2 linked regions of the Arabidopsis thaliana genome follow. The protein of the gene in region 1 binds, or shares a complex with, the protein of each later gene. Each region holds a gene or a part of one and is shown on either strand. Other genes may lie near its edges. The genes, in order: ndhI and NdhN. A codon is read from its position in the direction of its gene.

Region 1 (8,054 bases):
AAATATATATCAAATATAAAAATTGATCCTTAAAATATGAAATAGTATTCAATCAAATTTAATTGAATGAACGGAAAAAATCATAACATACACAAAGTTTTCTTTGGTCTTTAATAATTTAGAACATTTTTTATTGACGAGCCACAGAAATTGCACCTATCAAAGCAACTAAAAGAATTATTGAAATGAGTTCAAATGGCAGAAAAAAATCTGTTGATAAATGAATTCCTATTTGTTGACTATTACTTATTAAATCTTGCTCTAGAATCTGGTTTAATTTTGTAGTCCAAATAACCCCGTACCATGACGTATCGAGAATAGTAGACATTAATAAAAAAAGAATAGTTGTACAAACCAACGAAGTAATCCCATTCCCAATGGTCCACAGATTGAAATCTGTGGAATATTCTGAATCATTCATGAACATCACAGCAAATATGATTAAAACATTTATGGCCCCCACATAAATAAGGAGTTGTGCAGCAGCTACAAAATGGGAATTTGATAGAATATACAATAAAGATATACAAACAAGAACAAATCCTAAGGAAAAGGCTGAAAATATTGGGTTGGGAAGTAATACCACTCCCAGACCCCCTACTAGAAGACCGGATCCCAGAAAAACTAAAAGAAAATCATGTATTGGTCCAGGCAAATCCATTATATTATTAAAATAAGAAAAAATCGAAATCCTTTTCATGACCTTATTAATTTAACCAGGAAATTTGTTTTTTATATGTTTCTAAATAGAGTGAAATTAGAATCTAATGGATATGAATTGATGTAGATACAATTATTAGTATTAGGCTGTTTTCTCTTTTTTTTTTTCTAAAGTGTATTTTCAACCTATCAATTTCAAGAAAGTAATTACGAATATATTATATTAAAAGAATGTGCCTTAATACTTAATATTATTATTATTATATAAATACAATACAAGTTTTTAATTAAATTCTTTATATAAATATAATTCAACAACTTGGAATTCTTTTTTTAATCAAATTAAAGGGTTTACCCCATTTTTTGTTTGAGGTGAATTCCAAATTGTTCGAATAGTGTAATCGTCAATTACTGACATTGGTAAACGACCCAAAGCTATTTGATTATAATTCAATTCGTGACGATCATAAGTGGAAAATTCATATTCTTCAGTCATTGACAAACAATTTGTTGGACAATACTCAACACAATTACCACAAAATATACAAATTCCAAAATCAATACTGTAATTAAGCAATCGTTTTTTTCGAATATTAGTTTCCAATTTCCAATCAACAACAGGCAAATCTATAGGACATACTCGAACACATACTTCACAAGCAATGCATTTATCAAATTCAAAATGGATTCGACCGCGGAAACGTTCCGATGTTATTAATTTTTCATAGGGATATTGAATAGTTACAGGTAAACGATTTGTGTGGGATAAGGTAATCATGAAACCTTGACCAATATACCTTGCAGCTCGTAGGGTTTGTTGACCATAATTCATGAACCCGGTTATCATAGGAAGCATATTGTAATTATCTCTGAATAATTTTATCTTTGTTTCTGTCTCTTGTTTAAAACAAATAATGAATATATTAGATTCATTTTAAATTTAGAGTGAAAAGAGTTGGAAAGAAGTGGTTAATAATAGATTACCAAGGGAAATAGGTAAAAGAAATTTCCATCCAAGATTTAATAGTTGATCCATTCTTAGCCTAGGTAAAGTCCATCTTGTTGCGATAGAAACGAACAAAAACAAATAAGTTTTAGCTAATGTAATAAAGATACCAATTGTTGTTCCAAAAATTTGATCCCTTTGAAATAGCTCCAGAATAGATATATACGGAATAGAAATATTCCAACCGCCTAAGTATAGAACTGTTACAAATAATGAGGAAATTAATAGATTTAGATAAGAAGCAACGTAAAATAAACCAAATTTTATACCTGAATATTCAGTTTGATAACCTGCTATTAATTCTTCTTCCGCTTCTGGTAAATCAAACGGTAACCTCTCGCATTCTGCTAGGGAAGAAATTAGAAAAATGATAAAACCTATAGGTTGACGCCACAAATTCCATCCCCAAAAACCATATTTTGATTGTGCCTCAACTATATCAACTGTACTTAAACTGTTAGATAATCCTAGTCGGCGAGAACATTACTATTTTCACCGCTATTTCAGAACCGTACATGAGGTCTTGGCCTCATACGGCTCCTCGGGGGCCATAAATAAATCTAAGGACCAGATTATAATTTAGATGGATATGATGTGTTCTAAAATGGATTAAATATATCTGGGGTCCCGAATTATACCAATGGAATTCTGTCTGCTCAAATTCTAAGAATAAAAAACGCGCTTCGGAATTCATCTCACCCCTTTACAAATTTGAATTTCTATTTGTTGAGTAATAACTTAACCCTTTAATAAAAAACTCCTAAAAAAAAAAAGTATTTAAGCCCATCGTGGTTTTCGATTACGAAAAATAATTAGACATCCTATTTTTTTATTATTCATGACAGAAATTCGATTTTATTTTCGAAATATATGAAAAAAAAAAGAGCCTTGTTTCGTTCCTATTCTTCTTTCTTTTTTAGAAAAAAGTTGGTAGACTTATAAAAAATAAAGGATTATTTCGTTTCTGATAGTCATTACATTTGTCGGTGGATAGGAGCATACTCTGAATCGGAATCTTGGGGAGTACTGTCTGATCATTTCTACTAATTTAAAGCCCCAATTAACCTTCTTTTTTTTATCTTATGTTAGGCCTAAATATCCTTTTCAATTTGGTTAATCTCTATTACAAATTCTTTGTGTATTTTGGTGTTTCTAACCATCCACTCACTTTTACCTAATTGCCGCTCACTTTGTAATACATGTATGTTAATCTATATAACTGATAGTGAAAACGTCATCCGGTTACCGGTTAATATATTTAACCCGCTTCAAGTCAGGATGACTAATCAACCAACCTTGGGGTAAAGTGATTCTTACACTTATGTTTATTTCCGTTTAACCTTTGTACATAGGAAATGAGACTCATTTTTCGTTTTACTGCAAATTTCAGAGCAGTTTTTTTTTCACTCATATATAACTATCAAATTCCTTTTATTAATTATTTCGATTAATTCGAAAGATAAATATATATTCCGTTTTTTAACTGATTCGTCTAGAAGAAACGGAATAGTAAAAATAAACGTTTCTGTTTCAACGAATCGCACGTAGAGATATTGATAAAACACATAGAGTTAATGGTATTTCATAACTAATCGATTGGGCAGCAGCTCGCAGACCACCTAAAAAAGAATATTTATTATTTGATCCATATCCTGACATAAGAAGTCCAATAGGAGCAATACTTGAGATGGCAATCCATAAAAAAATACCGATATTGAGATCCGCTAAAACAAGGTGATTGCTAAAGGGAATTACTGAATAACTTAGTAAAATAGAGATAACTGCTATAGATGGTCCAATACTAAATAAAGGAGTATTTCCTCTAGATGGACGAAGATTTTCTTTGAAAAGTAGTTTTGTCCCATCGGCTAGAGCTTGAAGAATTCCCAACGGGCCGGCGTATTCAGGTCCAATACGTTGTTGTATCCCTGCAGATATTTCTCTTTCTAACCACACAATTACTAGTACACCTGTTATGATTCCCAATACAAGAGAAAATATAGGGACAAATATCCATATGAGTCCATAGACCTCTTTTAAAGATTCCAATTTAACAAAAGAATTTATAGTTTGGACTGCTGTTGCATAAATTATCATTTTAACGATCAACTTCTCCCATAATTATATCTATGCTACCGAGTATCGTCATAATATCAGCCAATTTCATTCTTTTAACTAGTTCAGGAAGAATTTGCAAATTAATAAAACCCGGTGGTCGTATTTTCCATCTCCAAGGAAAACCGCTTTGATCTCCTATGAGAAAAATTCCCAACTCCCCTTTTGGAGCTTCAACTCTTACATAAAGTTCTTGTTTTGATAATTCAAAAGTAGGAGAAGGTTTTTTACTAATGAATCGATATTCAAAATCATTCCATTCTGGATTCCTTTTTCTATCAAAGCCCCTGCTTTCTAAATTCTCATAGGGACCCCCTGGAAGTCCTTCCAGAGCCTGTTGAATAATTTTTATGGATTCTGTCATTTCGCTAAGTCGTACTAAATAACGAGCTAATGAATCTCCTTGTTTTTGCCATTGAATTTCCCATTCAAATTCATCGTAAGACTCATAACGATCAATTTTACGAAGATCCCATGGTATTCCGGATGCGCGTAGCATTGGTCCGGATAAACCCCAATTTATTGCTTCTTCCCCACCAATAATCCCAACTCCTTCAACCCGTTCTAAAAAAATAGGATTTCGTGTAATGAGTTTTTGATATTCAACAACCTCTGTTAAAAAATAATCACAAAAATCCAAGCATTTATCTATCCAACCATAAGGTAAATCAGCCGCTATTCCTCCAATACGAAAAAAATTATGCATCATTCTCATACCGGTGGCAGCTTCGAATAGATCATATACAAATTCTCGTTCTCTGAAAATATAGAAAAAGGGAGTCTGTGCACCAATATCTGCCATAAAAGGGCCGAGCCATAACAGATGAGAAGCTATACGACTCAATTCCAGCATAATTACTCTGATATAGCTGGCCCTTTTAGGAACTTGAATATTTCCCAATTGTTCTGGTCCATTTACTGTTATTGCTTCTGTAAACATAGTAGCTAAATAATCCCATCGCGTTACATACGGTAAATATTGTATAATTGCTCGGTTTTCTGCAATTTTTTCCATTCCTCTGTGTAAATAACCTAATATGGGTTCACAGTCAACAACATCCTCACCATCTAGAGTAACAATTAAGCGAAGAACACCATGCATGGATGGGTGGTGAGGTCCCATATTGACTATCATAAGATCTTTTCCTGTAACTGGTCTCTTCATAAGTTTTTCCTTGATTCGTTCTGGCATGAATTAGATTTCTGAATAAAGAAGTTTATCAAAAAATTCAAGATCTAAAAAATTCACTAATTCACAATTTTTGAATTTAACGAGTTTTTAATTCCCGAATATTCAACTGATTAATTAATTCTTTATAACGTACTCTATTTTTTTTTGACAAATAAGCCAGCAGTCGTTGACGTTTTCCCAGAATTTTTCGTAGACCCCGCTGAGATAAATAATCTTTTCTGTGCAATTCCAAATGTGAAGTAAGTCTTCGTATCTTATTAGTGAAACTAAATACTTGAAATTCAACGGATCCCCTGCTTTCTTCTTTTTGTTCTTCAAATGAAATGACTATATTTTTTATCATAAAAAGAAATCCTTCCCCTTTTAATATGAATTGAAAGATATTAATTTTACTGATCAGTAATAATAATGGTAGTTTTTTTGTACAAGGATCTTAATTTAATTATCAACCTCTTAATTCTTCATTTTAGAAAAAAATCTAAATTTAGATCTCAAAAAGAAGGATTCTGTTAATTTATTTATGAATCCGCTATAATTGGTATCTATGTGATTGATTAAATTAATCTCATGTATAAAGATTTAATTTAAAACAATCCCTCATATTTGTGCATATAGTTGTTTTCATATACCGTAACTTATTATATATAGTAAAAAGTATTTATGATTAAGGAATTGGAAATCGCGTATACATGCGTATTCTTATCATACTGAAATGATTTCCGTTAGTAGTATTAAACCAATAGCGATTCATACAAGCTAAATCTTCTAATTTAAAATTGGGCCAAAGAAAGGATTTTAAATTAATTAAGTTATTTTTATCCTTATCAAGATCAAGATCTTTCTTTTTATGCAAAACGGTGGTCAAGTTTTGAATATTCTTATCAAATCTTGAATTTGTATCCCTAGCATTTTTTTTTTTTAAGTTGAAACAAATTAGAATTCGAAATTCTCTACGTCGTTTAGGGGATAGAATTTTTTCAGGGACAAAGAAATCATAATTATTTTTTTTTTTATTTACAGTTTTGTTTTGATATTTTGTAATGGATTTTTCAAAAAATTTTTTATTAATATAGCTTTTTTTTTTGTATCTTTTACTTATTTTGTGTTTATTTTTATGAACCAATGAAATACCTATGGTTCTATATATAATAAGTTGTCCATCGTTTTGTACAGACAAACGCACAGGTTCAATAATCAATATTCCTTTTTTCATTAATTTTGCAAAAGTGAAATTTTTCTCAATCATTAGAATGTCTAGGCTCATCTCTCCTCTTTCAATAGAAGATACCGCTATTTCGTTTGGATTGTTTAGTCTAACCAAGAGACAGTATACTTTTACATTATTGAGAATTTTTTGATTAAAAAAACAATTCCATCGCAATTGAAAACGCGAATATCTTGTCAGAAATAAATCAAGTTCCGCTTCTGTATTACTTTTGTATTGTTTTTTATTTTTACGTTTTTTTATTGTTGATTCTGCAAAATTTTCTTCAATATTTTTTTCTTGGTTTAATCGAGCTGCTTCGGGATTTCTTTTTGTTTCTTTATCTGATTCAAGTTCTACTTGACCGGCCGATTCTTTTTCTTCTTTATTCAGATTATAAAATCGAAGGGATTCTTTTTCATTTGATGGTATAAAACCTTTTTTCTTTCGAATGATCTTTTTATTAACATTTATGTTTTCATTAAAATTTAAAAGAAGTAATTTGATTGGTATGACCCATGGTTTCATTTTATATGTACTAGAAAATAAGAAAAATTCCGGAAAGAAAAAAAATTCAAAATTTGTTATACGCTGATTTAGTATTTCTTCATTCATTCCCATCCAATCAAAAAAGTTTCTTTTTTTATTAGCAAGATCCGTCTGCGTTATTTTATCAATTTTTTGATAATTCTGAACTTTAGTATTAATATATTTTTTTTTACTCTTAGTATCAACCCAAGGCTCAATAGTTACTTTTTTTGTAAACCAAAAGTTAAGAATTCTCCAATCCAAATATTTTCTATGCCGAATTTCCCCCATACCCCGAATATTATATTTTTCTAGAAAAGAAGAGACTAAACAATTATCTAGGGCAATGCCTATAGACATGTCAAAATTTTTTTCTGTAGAATGAATAGATTTATAGCAAAAAAGATTATATATAGAATCTTTTTTTACATTATGTTTTGGATTTAATAATGAGTCGGCCTCAAAAAATTTTTGTTTTTTATAATTATCAAATTTCTTTTTTTCATATGAATCCTCTTTGGTTAAACTTGGGTTTAGAACTAGAGAATCTTTATTTATTTTATTTTTCCAATTTTGGGTTACTAATCTAGCCCATGAAATCTGGGGTAAATTGTATTGATACTGACTTCGTAACCAGTTTTTCCATTGATTTACTTCGGAATTCAAAAAGGTTTTATTTTTCAATTCATAATGAAAGATTCCGTGTTCTTGAAAAAAAACCTTTATTTTATTCTTAACAAAAAAGGATGTTATGCATATGTTATATTCAAGAACAGCCTTTAATTTACAAAAGTTACTAACTTTAATTTGTGATAATTTGTAAAATACATATGCTTGTGATAAAGAGCATAGGTCATAACTCATTTTTTTTTTATTGGATATTAAATTTTTTATAGTCGAAATAAAATAAAGAGTATTTTTTTTTTTTTCTCCATTTTCTTCATTCTTGTAAATATATTTATCAAGAATTTTTTTTGTTGATTCAAAAAAAAGTTGTGTAGTAATTCTTGGAATATTAATGATACCTAGAAAAATAGCTATAGACATTTGTTCGATGCAAAATTTAAAAAAAAAAATGGATTTACGAATTAATCGGGTATTTTTTCTTTTGAATGTCTGCCAAATTTTTTTTGATGACTCAATTATTTTAGAATCATAACGCAGTTTGGTACAACTATTAGTTAAGTTTTGTTTTTCTTTTGAAATTTCTTCTATTTGATTTCTGATTGTCTTTTTTCTATCAATCAAATTTTTGATTTTTTTTTCGCTAAGTGAAGAATTTGTCCACTCCAAGGATTTATTTTGAACAGATAGTTCATGAATCATCTGATTACTTATTATTGAATCTT
Region 2 (10,009 bases), on another chromosome or scaffold:
CTGAGACCAGGTATCAAATGCATACAACTAGGTCTCTTCTTTACTGGTCCGATCCTTATATTAGGATAATTTACTTCATTGATGGATCTCTTGTTTTTGAGTAATAGAAAAAGTCATTCAAGTTGATCATATTGGCACCACTTCAGTTTGAATTCTTATATCTTTTGTTTTTACAGACAAATTTCAGAGACAGGAGCCGGTGAGGTGAAAGAGACGGAAACTGGTGAGGTGAAAGAAAGGTCAAGTTCGTGGAGCAACATAATGTCATTTGCGAAAGAATTTGCGAACTTTTGGAGATGAGGGTAGATATAGCCAGGGAGCTTTAGACACGCTCAGGAAGGGTAGGTAGAGGTGTGTAAAGTATACCAGTAGAAGCTGTTTTGTTTTGACATTTTGCGCAAAGGTTTGGAATCGACCAAGATGTCTTAATCTAGACTATTATTGTCCTGCTGGCTATGAGTCTAGATTAAAACACACAACAGTTTTAGAGGCTTGTTTTGTGATCGACCATTTTGTACAAAGGTATAGAATCTCCCAAGATGTTTAACATGGTAATCTATACTATCGTTGTCCTACTCACAATGAGTCTAGATCAAAGCTCGTATTTTCGCTAATTCATTGTTTGTTCTACAGAACTACAAATCCAAATAAATACTCGAATAGACATTATTTCATAGCAATTTTTATACATGTCGAATAAAGACTTCATTTCATAGCAATTTTGATACATGTTCCCGTAGTGGTACAACCAAAACAAAATGTGTTGGAAAGTTGGTGCCGCAGACAGCAGTAGCATAGCTCTAGCTCCCACGGTATGTGGAGAAAGAAAAAGGTGCAAGCAACAGTGGGACATGGAAATGCTCCCATTTCTGTGATTCTGTAACCTGAAATACAATGGAAACATAGGGAAAGAAGCAGCCTGGGGAATACTTTGCAGTGTCGAAGCTAATCCTATATGTCCCTGGATTCAAAGCGTCAACCAAATCCATCAGTGGCCCACTGCGCCCATCTCTATCAGTAGCTGATGTGCCCACACTGGACCAGACCCCACCACCTCCATGAACAAAGGAAGGACCGGTAGTACCACTCCACACTTCTAAGTGCACTTCAACACCTGCAGCTGGAGCACCACGTGAGACGTCTAAGACATGAGTCGTGATCGGTGGCCTACTTCTCTTGGGAGCTTTTGCTTCAGCTGCAACATTCAAATGCCCTCCAATGATTCTCAGACGATCTTACAAAGCGAGAAAGTAGAAAAGGTCACACAGATAACAAAGATAGCCATAAGGGTAAATCCTTGTATTCCAAAAGACACATACTTGATATCATACTGAATCCTAACAGGTTCAAACCCACACAGTCAAACACAAAACTTTGACAAGGAAAAGATTTGGTAAATCATCAATATACCTTGAGGTTTTGTTGAAACAGGAGAGCTAGAGCTGTCAGTTTCTGATATAACTTTAGCCTTATCGGAGAACAGCTTTGCCATTCGTAGCTCTGTTATTTTCATTTGTTCCATAGCAGCAATCTCAAGCTCCACTATTGGCCTATTTTCATACCTTTCCTGAAAAAGAGACGATTTGATGAATATGTAACTTTCTCATTCACTCACACTCAACAAAAACTGATTTGGAAATGCAAAAGTTGACCTTTAACGCATGGAGCATCTCAGCGTGAGTCCTGCCAGAAGCGCAAATAATGAAGATAAAGCCAAACTTCTTTTTGTAAAGTACATTCCATTCGGCAAGCTCCTAAGAAATTGAAAACAATTGATCATCAGAAGAAGAAATCACTGAAGAGATGAAGGAAAAAAAAAGTGAAGATCCATCACCTGTAAAGCAGAAGCAGAAGTTGTGGCAAAGGCGGTTGACTGTTCTGATACGCTCCGACGAGCAAAATCGGAGTTGATAGAAGGTGAAGGAGTATTCCCAATCTGAGGATGAGCAGAGAAAGCTTCAAGCCAATCTGTCACATTAACTTGGTTGAACCAGATGTCTCTTGCAGTATATATTGCTTCTTGAGAAGTTAACGGTCCAGACGTAGACATCTGCTTCGCGAATTCGGAGCTTCCACAGCAAACCTTCCATTCATCTTCTCCGATCTCCATCGCCATTTTTTCTCTCTTTTCTCCAATCCTCACTTCTGTTGACTGGTGTAAGATCAAAAGTCATCTAATTGGGCCTTTTCATAAACGGGCTTTTCAAAAATGGGCCTTTTCTTTATCTTCTTCCTTTTTTTATTCATCATCTTCTATATGTGAATTATTCAGAAACAGAAGCGAGAAGTTTCTTACAATTTGTAAAGAGATCTGTTTTAGGGTTTTGCCTTGTTCTTGTGGCGGGAATAACAAAGACATCGCCGATATGGGGAAAGACGAAGAGGAAATGCGAGGTGAGATCGAGGAGCGACTAATCAATGAAGAGTACAAGATCTGGAAGAAGAACACTCCTTTCCTCTACGATCTCGTTATTACTCACGCTCTCGAGTGGCCTTCACTTACTGTTGAATGGCTTCCTGACCGTGAAGAACCTTCCGGTAAAGACTACTCCGTTCAGAAGATGATTCTCGGTACCCATACCTCCGAGAGCGAGCCCAATTACTTGATGCTAGCCCAAGTTCAGCTTCCTCTTGACGATACCGAGAGTGAAGCTCGTCAGTACGATGATGACCGCTCTGAATTTGGTGGCTTTGGCTGTGCAACTGGAAAGGTGCGATTTTTTATTTTTGTTTCTCATTTCCAACTTTCTAGATTTGATTCTAGGGTTATAACGAGGTAAAGGATGATAAATGTTAGTTTGATTGCTTGTGTAGGTACAAATTATCCAGCAGATAAATCATGATGGTGAGGTTAATCGAGCTCGCTATATGCCTCAAAACCCTTTCATAATTGCTACCAAGACAGTTAATGCGGAGGTCTATGTTTTCGATTACAGTAAGCATCCATCTAAGCCTCCTCTTGATGGGGCTTGTAATCCTGATTTAAAGCTTAGAGGTCACAGCTCTGAGGGATATGGTCTCTCTTGGAGTAAGTTCAAGCAGGGTCATTTGCTTAGTGGCTCTGATGATGCTCAGATCTGCTTGTGGGATATTAACGCTACTCCTAAAAACAAATCTCTGGACGCTCAGCAGATTTTTAAGGTAATGCTTTGGATTTCTATTCGTTTTTAGTTTTGTTTTGTATCATCTAGAAAGGAAGGAATTGCACCCACTTAACGGAATCAGTTACACTTATGAAAGCTCATAGATAGATATTCAGGTTGGTTTCTGTGTTTTCCTTGCTGATGATTATTTTCTGAACTTAAGGCTCATGAAGGGGTTGTGGAAGATGTTGCATGGCATCTGAGACATGAGTACCTGTTTGGATCAGTTGGAGATGACCAATACCTTCTCATATGGGATCTGCGTTCTCCATCTGCCAGTAAACCAGTACAGTCTGTGGTTGCTCATTCGATGGAGGTGAGTTTGCAATATATTAGCTTTAGATACAGATAATACTTCTGGTTTTTAAGCTTGCTTTCCTTAACACTAAAAACCATTGAATCATATTGCCTCGTATGTATTTGCTAATTGTTGAGTTGTTTGAAATGCCTTAGGTTAACTGCTTAGCCTTCAATCCATTTAATGAGTGGGTTGTGGCAACAGGATCAACTGACAAGACTGTTAAATTATTCGATCTACGGAAGCTAAGCACCGCTCTTCACACATTTGATAGCCACAAGTAAGAATGATACGCCATAAATATTGCCGCTTTGAGATGGATTTTGTGTTACTAAGAAGTATTTACAAGTTACAGCAACATCACTAACCTTAATTATGTGCTTGATCTCCAGAGAGGAGGTTTTTCAAGTTGGTTGGAACCCAAAGAACGAGACTATTTTAGCTTCATGTTGCCTTGGTAGAAGACTTATGGTTTGGGACCTTAGCAGGTTTGGGCCGTAGACTTTAGTTCTTTAGTTTAATGTTCATGTATGGTCATGGAGGAGCAATATTGATATGTTTGAGGGTGTCTTATGATAGGATCGATGAGGAACAGACAGTGGAGGACGCAGAAGACGGCCCACCTGAGCTGCTGTTTATTCACGGTGGTCACACTAGCAAAATTTCAGATTTCTCGTGGAACCCTTGTGAAGATTGGGTTATTTCCAGTGTTGCTGAGGACAACATACTCCAAATATGGCAAATGGCTGAAAACATCTATCATGATGAGGATGACGCTCCAGGGGAAGAACCATCAAAAGCTTCTTAGCTTGTTATTTAGTATCCAAAGCGCACTGATCTTATGGGACAGTATTTATTTATACATCTCTGCTATTGTTTAGTTCAAGTATTTAGTGTTCATTGTGTAAAATGAGGCATGAGAGGATGGTAGCAAGTGGGAATTTTTCTTTATAACATGAAGGAGTTGATTCTAATCTCACTAAGTAGTGTCAACCAAAGCTATAACTCTTAGTTTATACCCAGATTGGGCGACATTAGAAAGAAATTACAAATTTGAATCAAAGTCTCTGACATAAAATTTCAAACTGAAAGTCACTTGTCACAATGGTCCTTATTAAAGCTACTGGATAGCTTGGTTTGATTTGATATTGATAAATGATAACTAGCAATCGAAAAGAGATCTGTATTGGGAAGCCTCGTCAGCCATCTCCTGAATGCTCCTATCAACCCGGTCTTTATCTAGATCAAGCTTCTGCTTCAGTTCCTTCTCCTTCTCATCAAGCTACAAGAAGATACCACCATAAGATTTGTATAAAACCAAAGCTAGGAATGTGATCAAAATGCAACAACTTACAGCATCATAGATTTCATCATTCTTCTCAAAGTCACCACCTTTACGAGGCAAGATATGAATGTGTACATGGGGAACAGTCTGTCCCGCTTGAGGGCCATCCTAAGCCATTTTCATGAAACCAAAGTTAGATCGTTTCAATTCCAATCCATTAAGATTTAGACGCAAGAAACAATGACGAAAGAAAGGAGATGTTTAGTTTACTTGGATGGCTAATGTGAGAGAAGACGCATTATGGAAGGTCTCAAGCTTAGAGCCAACCTTCTGAGCAGTAAGCCACAGGTCACTGGTCTCATCAGCTGTAAGATCAGTAAATCGTGGCACAAGGCGTCTCGGGCAGACAAGAACATGTGCTCGTCTGGTTAAAGTCATCCAATAGAACTCAATTTACAAAACAAAACCGAAAAATGAAGAACACACAAAAAAAAGAAGGATATGACCTGCAAAAAATAGATGAAAAAGAAGGTCAGAAGAAAGTTGAAGAGGTTCGATGAATAATTAGAGAGGAATGAGGCATACCAGGAAGAAGCGGACGGAGATTAACCATGGCATAAGAGAGAGGCGTTGCGTAGAACACTTCACGGGGATCGATTTTGTACGGCCCAAATGCGTACGAAGAACAAGTAGACGACATCTGCAGCAATCAAAACACTCAAAAATCAATCCTTCTAACTTGTAAAGTAGAGACAAAATGTTGGATCGTATAAGGAACTTACCTTTCTCTGACAACGAATACTAGATAAGATCGTCTTCCCGGTTACTTGCAGGTTCAGCATCTCAGCTCCGCCTCCGTCGCCATGAAAGTCACAGTTAACGCCTTTCCCTTTTCTTTCTTACGGGCTTGAAGAAACCCATAACACCTTATTGGGCCATTACTGAAGCCCAAATAACATTAAAATCAATTAAAAATTGAGTTGAGAAAGGGAGAGAGAGAGTGATGATAATAATGGATGACCCCCGGCAAAAAAGATAAGATTTTTACAGATTCTGCCTCGATCAACAGACTCTAATCAGCAGCAAATGTGGAGCGTCACCGGAGCATTGACTGTGGCGGTGCCGCCTACCGCCGCCGCTTGCCGTACGAAACCCTTTCTCATCTCCTCTTCCTTTCCCAAGCAGACAAAGAAACTCCATCTCTCTTCGCCTTCTCTGTCTCTACCATCATCACATTTCTCCTCCTCTTTCAAAACCGCAGCTACCTCCATCGAGCAACAGTCTTCTGTTAACAAGGTTTCTCTTTTCTTTCTCTCTCTCTCTTTTCCTCTTGACCAATCAAACCAAACAGCTTACGTTTTCTGGATGATTGCAGGGAGAGAGCACCAAGTACCATTTCCTGGTAGCAAACGCTAAATTCATGCTTGACGAAGAGGAGCACTTCCAGGAGCAATTGTTTGAACGTCTCCGTTACTTCGGTGAGCGTGAATTAGTGCAAGACTTCTGGCTTGTCATTGAGCCTAAATTCCTTGACAATTTCCCCAAAATTACTCAAAGACTTCGTCGTCCTGCTGTTGCTCTTGTTTCCACCAATGGCACCTGGATCACGTTAGAACCCTAATCCCAATCTCTCTCTTTTCAAAATTACGTTCCTCACTCCCTCCTTATCTAACGCATTTGTGTTTTGCAATTTGTTGTTTTATGGCAGGTTTATGAAGTTAAGATTGGATCGTGTTCTGTATGATTCCTTTGAAGCTACCTCTCTTGATGAAGCTTTGGCCTCCAATCCTACCACTCTTGAGTTCGATAAGCCTAAAAATTGGGTGGCGCCATACCCCAAGTATGAACCTGGATGGTGGGATACCTTCTTGCCTAAAGTAACCCAAGAATCTGCAGTATAGAACTTTGCTTTTTGTCTTGTTTTTGCATTCTCCAATCTCAGCTTTGTCTTAGTGCTTCAAAGTTTTGTACTACTGAGCTCATTATCCAAGTCTATATCTTTCCTAGTGTAGCTTCTATTACTCAAAGTTGCCTGTTTGATACGTCACTGACTCAAGGTTAAGCATAGAACTAGACAACAAAAAGCATCCTCACATTTAGCTCCATCAAAGTCTTAAGGGTGACCATATTTGTTGATTTCTCACGAGAATATTGGCAAGAACCTTCAGTTAAAGCTCTAGGTATTAAGTTGTCTAGTCACAGGAGGGCAATATGCCTACTCGCTGAAGAACTTTGCAAAAGATCTGAATTTTTTGGTTTTCAAAACGATTTGTGGACTCGGAACATGTTGTTACTCGTTAGGTCTAGTGACTGGAGTTGATCAAAGTAAGTTGCACATGTTTCTGCTGAATCAAGTGTTCTATGTTGTACTTCTGGATTGCTCTGTAGTCTGTATCTAAGCGTGTCCTATCAATCTTACTGATTATACATACTTTTATTTGTGACAAAGCAGAGTCAGAAATTATCTTTAACTACTCCATGGGAATATACTACCAAGTTACAAATACAGATTTTAACTTTTACTATGGGATGAGTATTGCTACACTTGCGGGAGATGCATTCATGAAAAACTATACACTGGTAGCTCCACTTGTGCCATTAAGTTACTCTTGTGCAGCTAGATTTGCAATTTCTGCTAGAGGCTTCCACACGAACTTTCTCCTGCAGGGGAATTGGTAATGGTCATGCAAATTGCAAACATAGATGATTAGTGTGTATGGTAAGGAATGATATACTCACCAGTTGCCACATTCAGCAATAACCCTGACGTTAGGACGAAGAGAGGGAAGTAAAGCGAGAAATTGAAGCTCCGATTTTGAGAGGACCTGAGTGAAATGGAAATATGAGAAAGAGCATGTGGGAGAACAGATCAAATGAGAGAAACTCAAACCTTTGCTTCGAGGACCCATACAACAAGACCCTTGGCACTAGGGGGAAGAGCAGCGAGCCTGTAATCAACTTCTGGTGGATAATACCATCTTGCTATAGGTTGTTTCCCAAGATGAGCCTAAAAGAAGAGAAGATACATGGTTCACACAAAATTATATTGAAACAAGATTAAAGTAGAAGATGGATGAAAGTAGACATACAGGGCAAACAGGGTAGTTCTTGAGAAGGGTAGTCTCAGGGTCACCAAGGCCACGAGCAGAGATGTCAAGAAAGTAGTAGCCCTGCATTTTGAGACGGTTAAGATAACGACCTTCGTAACCACCCTCATGAGGAGCGTAAATGGCGATTGCCTTGTGTTCTTCCACGTCTTGAAGCCATTGTCCGATGTCCGGCTTCACCAAGTCACCTCCGATGTAGTCAGCTATGCTGCTACATTTCACACCAGTGCTTCTTCTTCTCTTACTCCTAGTATTCACCAAAAAGGAACCAACTGTTTTGATCTTCTTCACTTGCGAGGCTTCAAAACACGGTGGTGCCACACGTTGTATACATATTGCACGGCTTCCCATTTCTTTACTAACAATGACTTCTTGTGGAAGTAGCTCATAATAAACATTGCTTGACGACGATGATGATGAAAGAATGGTGGAGAAACGACGACTCACTCCACAAAGGGATAGACATTAATGGGCTTAAAATGTATTGGGCTTTATTTATTAGGCCCATTAAGCACCGCCGAACGTCGTGACATTGTTAGCTAGCTCGCCGGAGCAAAATTCAGTCTGTGAAACTTTCGGAGAAGAAGGGATGTCGAGAGGATCTCGATTCGTTAGGGCTCCTGGGCTCTTACTCTGTCGCGTTAATCTTCAACCTCAACCCAAAATCCCATCTTTTTCCTACAGTCTTCGCTCTGATTATCGTCTTCATAATGGTTTCTCCAATTACATCAGACGTAACTCAATTCGAACATCTCCGGTTATCAATGCCTTCCTCTCAGATAACTCACCATCCCCGTCACCATCACCATCCCCAATTCGTTTTGTTCAACGGAGTTCAATGCTTAATGGTCGTCTCTTCTCGACTTCTACTCCCAATCCAGACCAAACCACCACCAAGACTAAGGAAATCAAGACAACCTCGTCGGATTCAGACTCAGCTATGGCTGACATGAAGATTCTCCGTACGCTTGCTGGCTATTTGTGGATGAGAGACAATCCAGAATTCCGTTTCAGGGTCATCGCTGCTTTGGGTTTTCTCGTGGGTGCTAAGGTCTTGAATGTCCAAGTCCCTTTCCTCTTCAAATTAGCTGTTGATTGGCTTGCTTCAGCTACCGGTACTGGAGCCTCACTTACCACCTTCGCTGCTACAAACCCAACTCTTCTTACTGTTTTTGCTACTCCTGCTGCTGTTCTCATTGGATACGGGATTGCTCGGACGGGTTCTTCTGCTTTTAATGGTAACTCTCAATAGCTCTAGTTTTCTTTAAAAAAGAATGCACTTTTCACTCTTGGTTGTTACTTTTCATCATCGCAGAACTTCGTACTGCTGTGTTCTCTAAGGTAGCTCTCCGAACAATACGATCTGTTTCTAGAAAGGTATGCTGCTGCTGCTCTAAACTATCTTGTCGATAGAGATATTTTAATGTATGAATCAATTTCATATGGTCGCTTTGCAGGTGTTCTCACATTTACATGATCTTGACCTTCGTTACCACCTAAGGTATCTATCTCTCCTCTCTTACTCTTGTGAGTAGTCTCGCTCATTCCATCTTAGATTCATCTCATCATAACTTCCTTACTTAATTGCTTATGTCCAGTCGAGAAACAGGCGGCTTGAACAGGATTATTGATCGTGGTAGCCGTGCAATAAATTTTATCCTCTCAGCTATGGTTTTCAATGTTGTTCCTACCATATTGGAGGTAAAGCTTGTCTGACCACTTGGTGCTTTCTCATGATCATTGTTTTTTTTCTCATTTTGAATAATTGGCAGTTGCTCATTCATATTTGGATTTCACTATTCATTCGTCTCTAAAAACACTCGACGTAATTAATATGTATCTTTCAGATATCTATGGTATCAGGTATACTGGCATACAAGTTTGGAGCTGCTTTTGCCTGGATTACTTCTCTCTCCGTTGGATCATATATCGTTTTCACATTAGCTGTGACACAGGTACTGTGCCTTTTTCGGTATTCTCTTTTCAATGCCAACTATAATGCAATACTTGCGTTATTATCATGATAATCCAGCAATAACTGTGATATTTTATTTAAGAAACTACTATAGTATACATTGTTCTGGAATTCGTTACTAAGCTTCTCTAATCTTAACTGTATCAACTCTTTGGATCGGCTTAAATCATTCTAGTTGTGATATTAGGTTTGATGATGTAT

The links.
Region 2: the proteins of ndhI (region 1) and NdhN are in contact, whole or in part, in a cryo-EM structure (PDB 7WFG), measured with the Arabidopsis thaliana proteins. Residues at the interface, in NP_051113.1 of Arabidopsis thaliana: Tyr44 (codon at 1,387), Ile76 (codon at 1,291), Asp77 (codon at 1,288), Leu78 (codon at 1,285), Pro79 (codon at 1,282), Val80 (codon at 1,279), Val81 (codon at 1,276), Asp82 (codon at 1,273), Asn96 (codon at 1,231), Ser98 (codon at 1,225), Asp100 (codon at 1,219), Ile103 (codon at 1,210), Glu124 (codon at 1,147), Glu126 (codon at 1,141), Thr129 (codon at 1,132), Tyr130 (codon at 1,129), Glu134 (codon at 1,117), Tyr137 (codon at 1,108), Asn138 (codon at 1,105), Ile140 (codon at 1,099), Ala141 (codon at 1,096), Arg144 (codon at 1,087), Leu145 (codon at 1,084), Pro146 (codon at 1,081), Met147 (codon at 1,078); in NP_200634.1 of Arabidopsis thaliana: His81 (codon at 7,944), Asp102 (codon at 7,881), Ile103 (codon at 7,878), Ser104 (codon at 7,875), Ala105 (codon at 7,872), Arg106 (codon at 7,869), Gly107 (codon at 7,866), Leu108 (codon at 7,863), Gly109 (codon at 7,860), Asp110 (codon at 7,857), Pro120 (codon at 7,827), Cys122 (codon at 7,821), Pro123 (codon at 7,818), Ala124 (codon at 7,733), His125 (codon at 7,730), Leu126 (codon at 7,727), Gly127 (codon at 7,724), Ile131 (codon at 7,712), Arg133 (codon at 7,706), Val163 (codon at 7,551), Leu164 (codon at 7,548), Ser165 (codon at 7,545), Lys166 (codon at 7,542).

Annotation. Positions count from the first base shown.
Region 1 is NC_000932.1:118,247-126,300, forward strand, and holds ndhI (NADH dehydrogenase subunit I), read right to left. Parts: upstream 1,517-8,054; coding exon 998-1,516; downstream 1-997. Other genes in the region: ndhG (NADH dehydrogenase subunit 6), read right to left, coding at 131-661; ndhA (NADH dehydrogenase subunit 1), read right to left, coding at 1,601-2,130, 3,211-3,763; ndhH (NADH dehydrogenase subunit 7), read right to left, coding at 3,765-4,946; rps15 (ribosomal protein S15), read right to left, coding at 5,050-5,316. UniProt on the Arabidopsis thaliana protein: NDH shuttles electrons from NAD(P)H:plastoquinone, via FMN and iron-sulfur (Fe-S) centers, to quinones in the photosynthetic chain and possibly in a chloroplast respiratory chain.
Region 2 is NC_003076.8:23,553,746-23,563,754, forward strand, and holds NdhN (oxidoreductases, acting on NADH or NADPH, quinone or similar compound as acceptor), read right to left. Parts: upstream 8,257-10,009; 5' UTR 8,185-8,256; coding exon 7,816-8,184; intron 7,734-7,815; coding exon 7,617-7,733; coding exon of another isoform or gene 7,611-7,616; exon of another isoform or gene 7,552-7,610; coding exon 7,466-7,551; intron 7,388-7,465; coding exon 7,330-7,387; 3' UTR 6,823-7,329; downstream 1-6,822. Other genes in the region: AT5G58210 (hydroxyproline-rich glycoprotein family protein), read left to right, coding at 1-10, 177-300; TTL (transthyretin-like protein), read right to left, coding at 801-1,234, 1,411-1,567, 1,653-1,754, 1,835-2,116; MSI1 (Transducin/WD40 repeat-like superfamily protein), read left to right, coding at 2,367-2,711, 2,815-3,141, 3,307-3,459, 3,597-3,721, 3,834-3,929, 4,021-4,249; FHIT (FRAGILE HISTIDINE TRIAD), read right to left, coding at 4,604-4,723, 4,796-4,894, 4,997-5,145, 5,312-5,426, 5,509-5,568; EMB3143 (YCF54), read left to right, coding at 5,813-6,022, 6,102-6,334, 6,435-6,627; ABCB25 (ABC transporter of the mitochondrion 3), read left to right, coding at 8,423-9,071, 9,149-9,210, 9,291-9,334, 9,432-9,534, 9,681-9,788. UniProt on the Arabidopsis thaliana protein: NDH shuttles electrons from NAD(P)H:plastoquinone, via FMN and iron-sulfur (Fe-S) centers, to quinones in the photosynthetic chain and possibly in a chloroplast respiratory chain.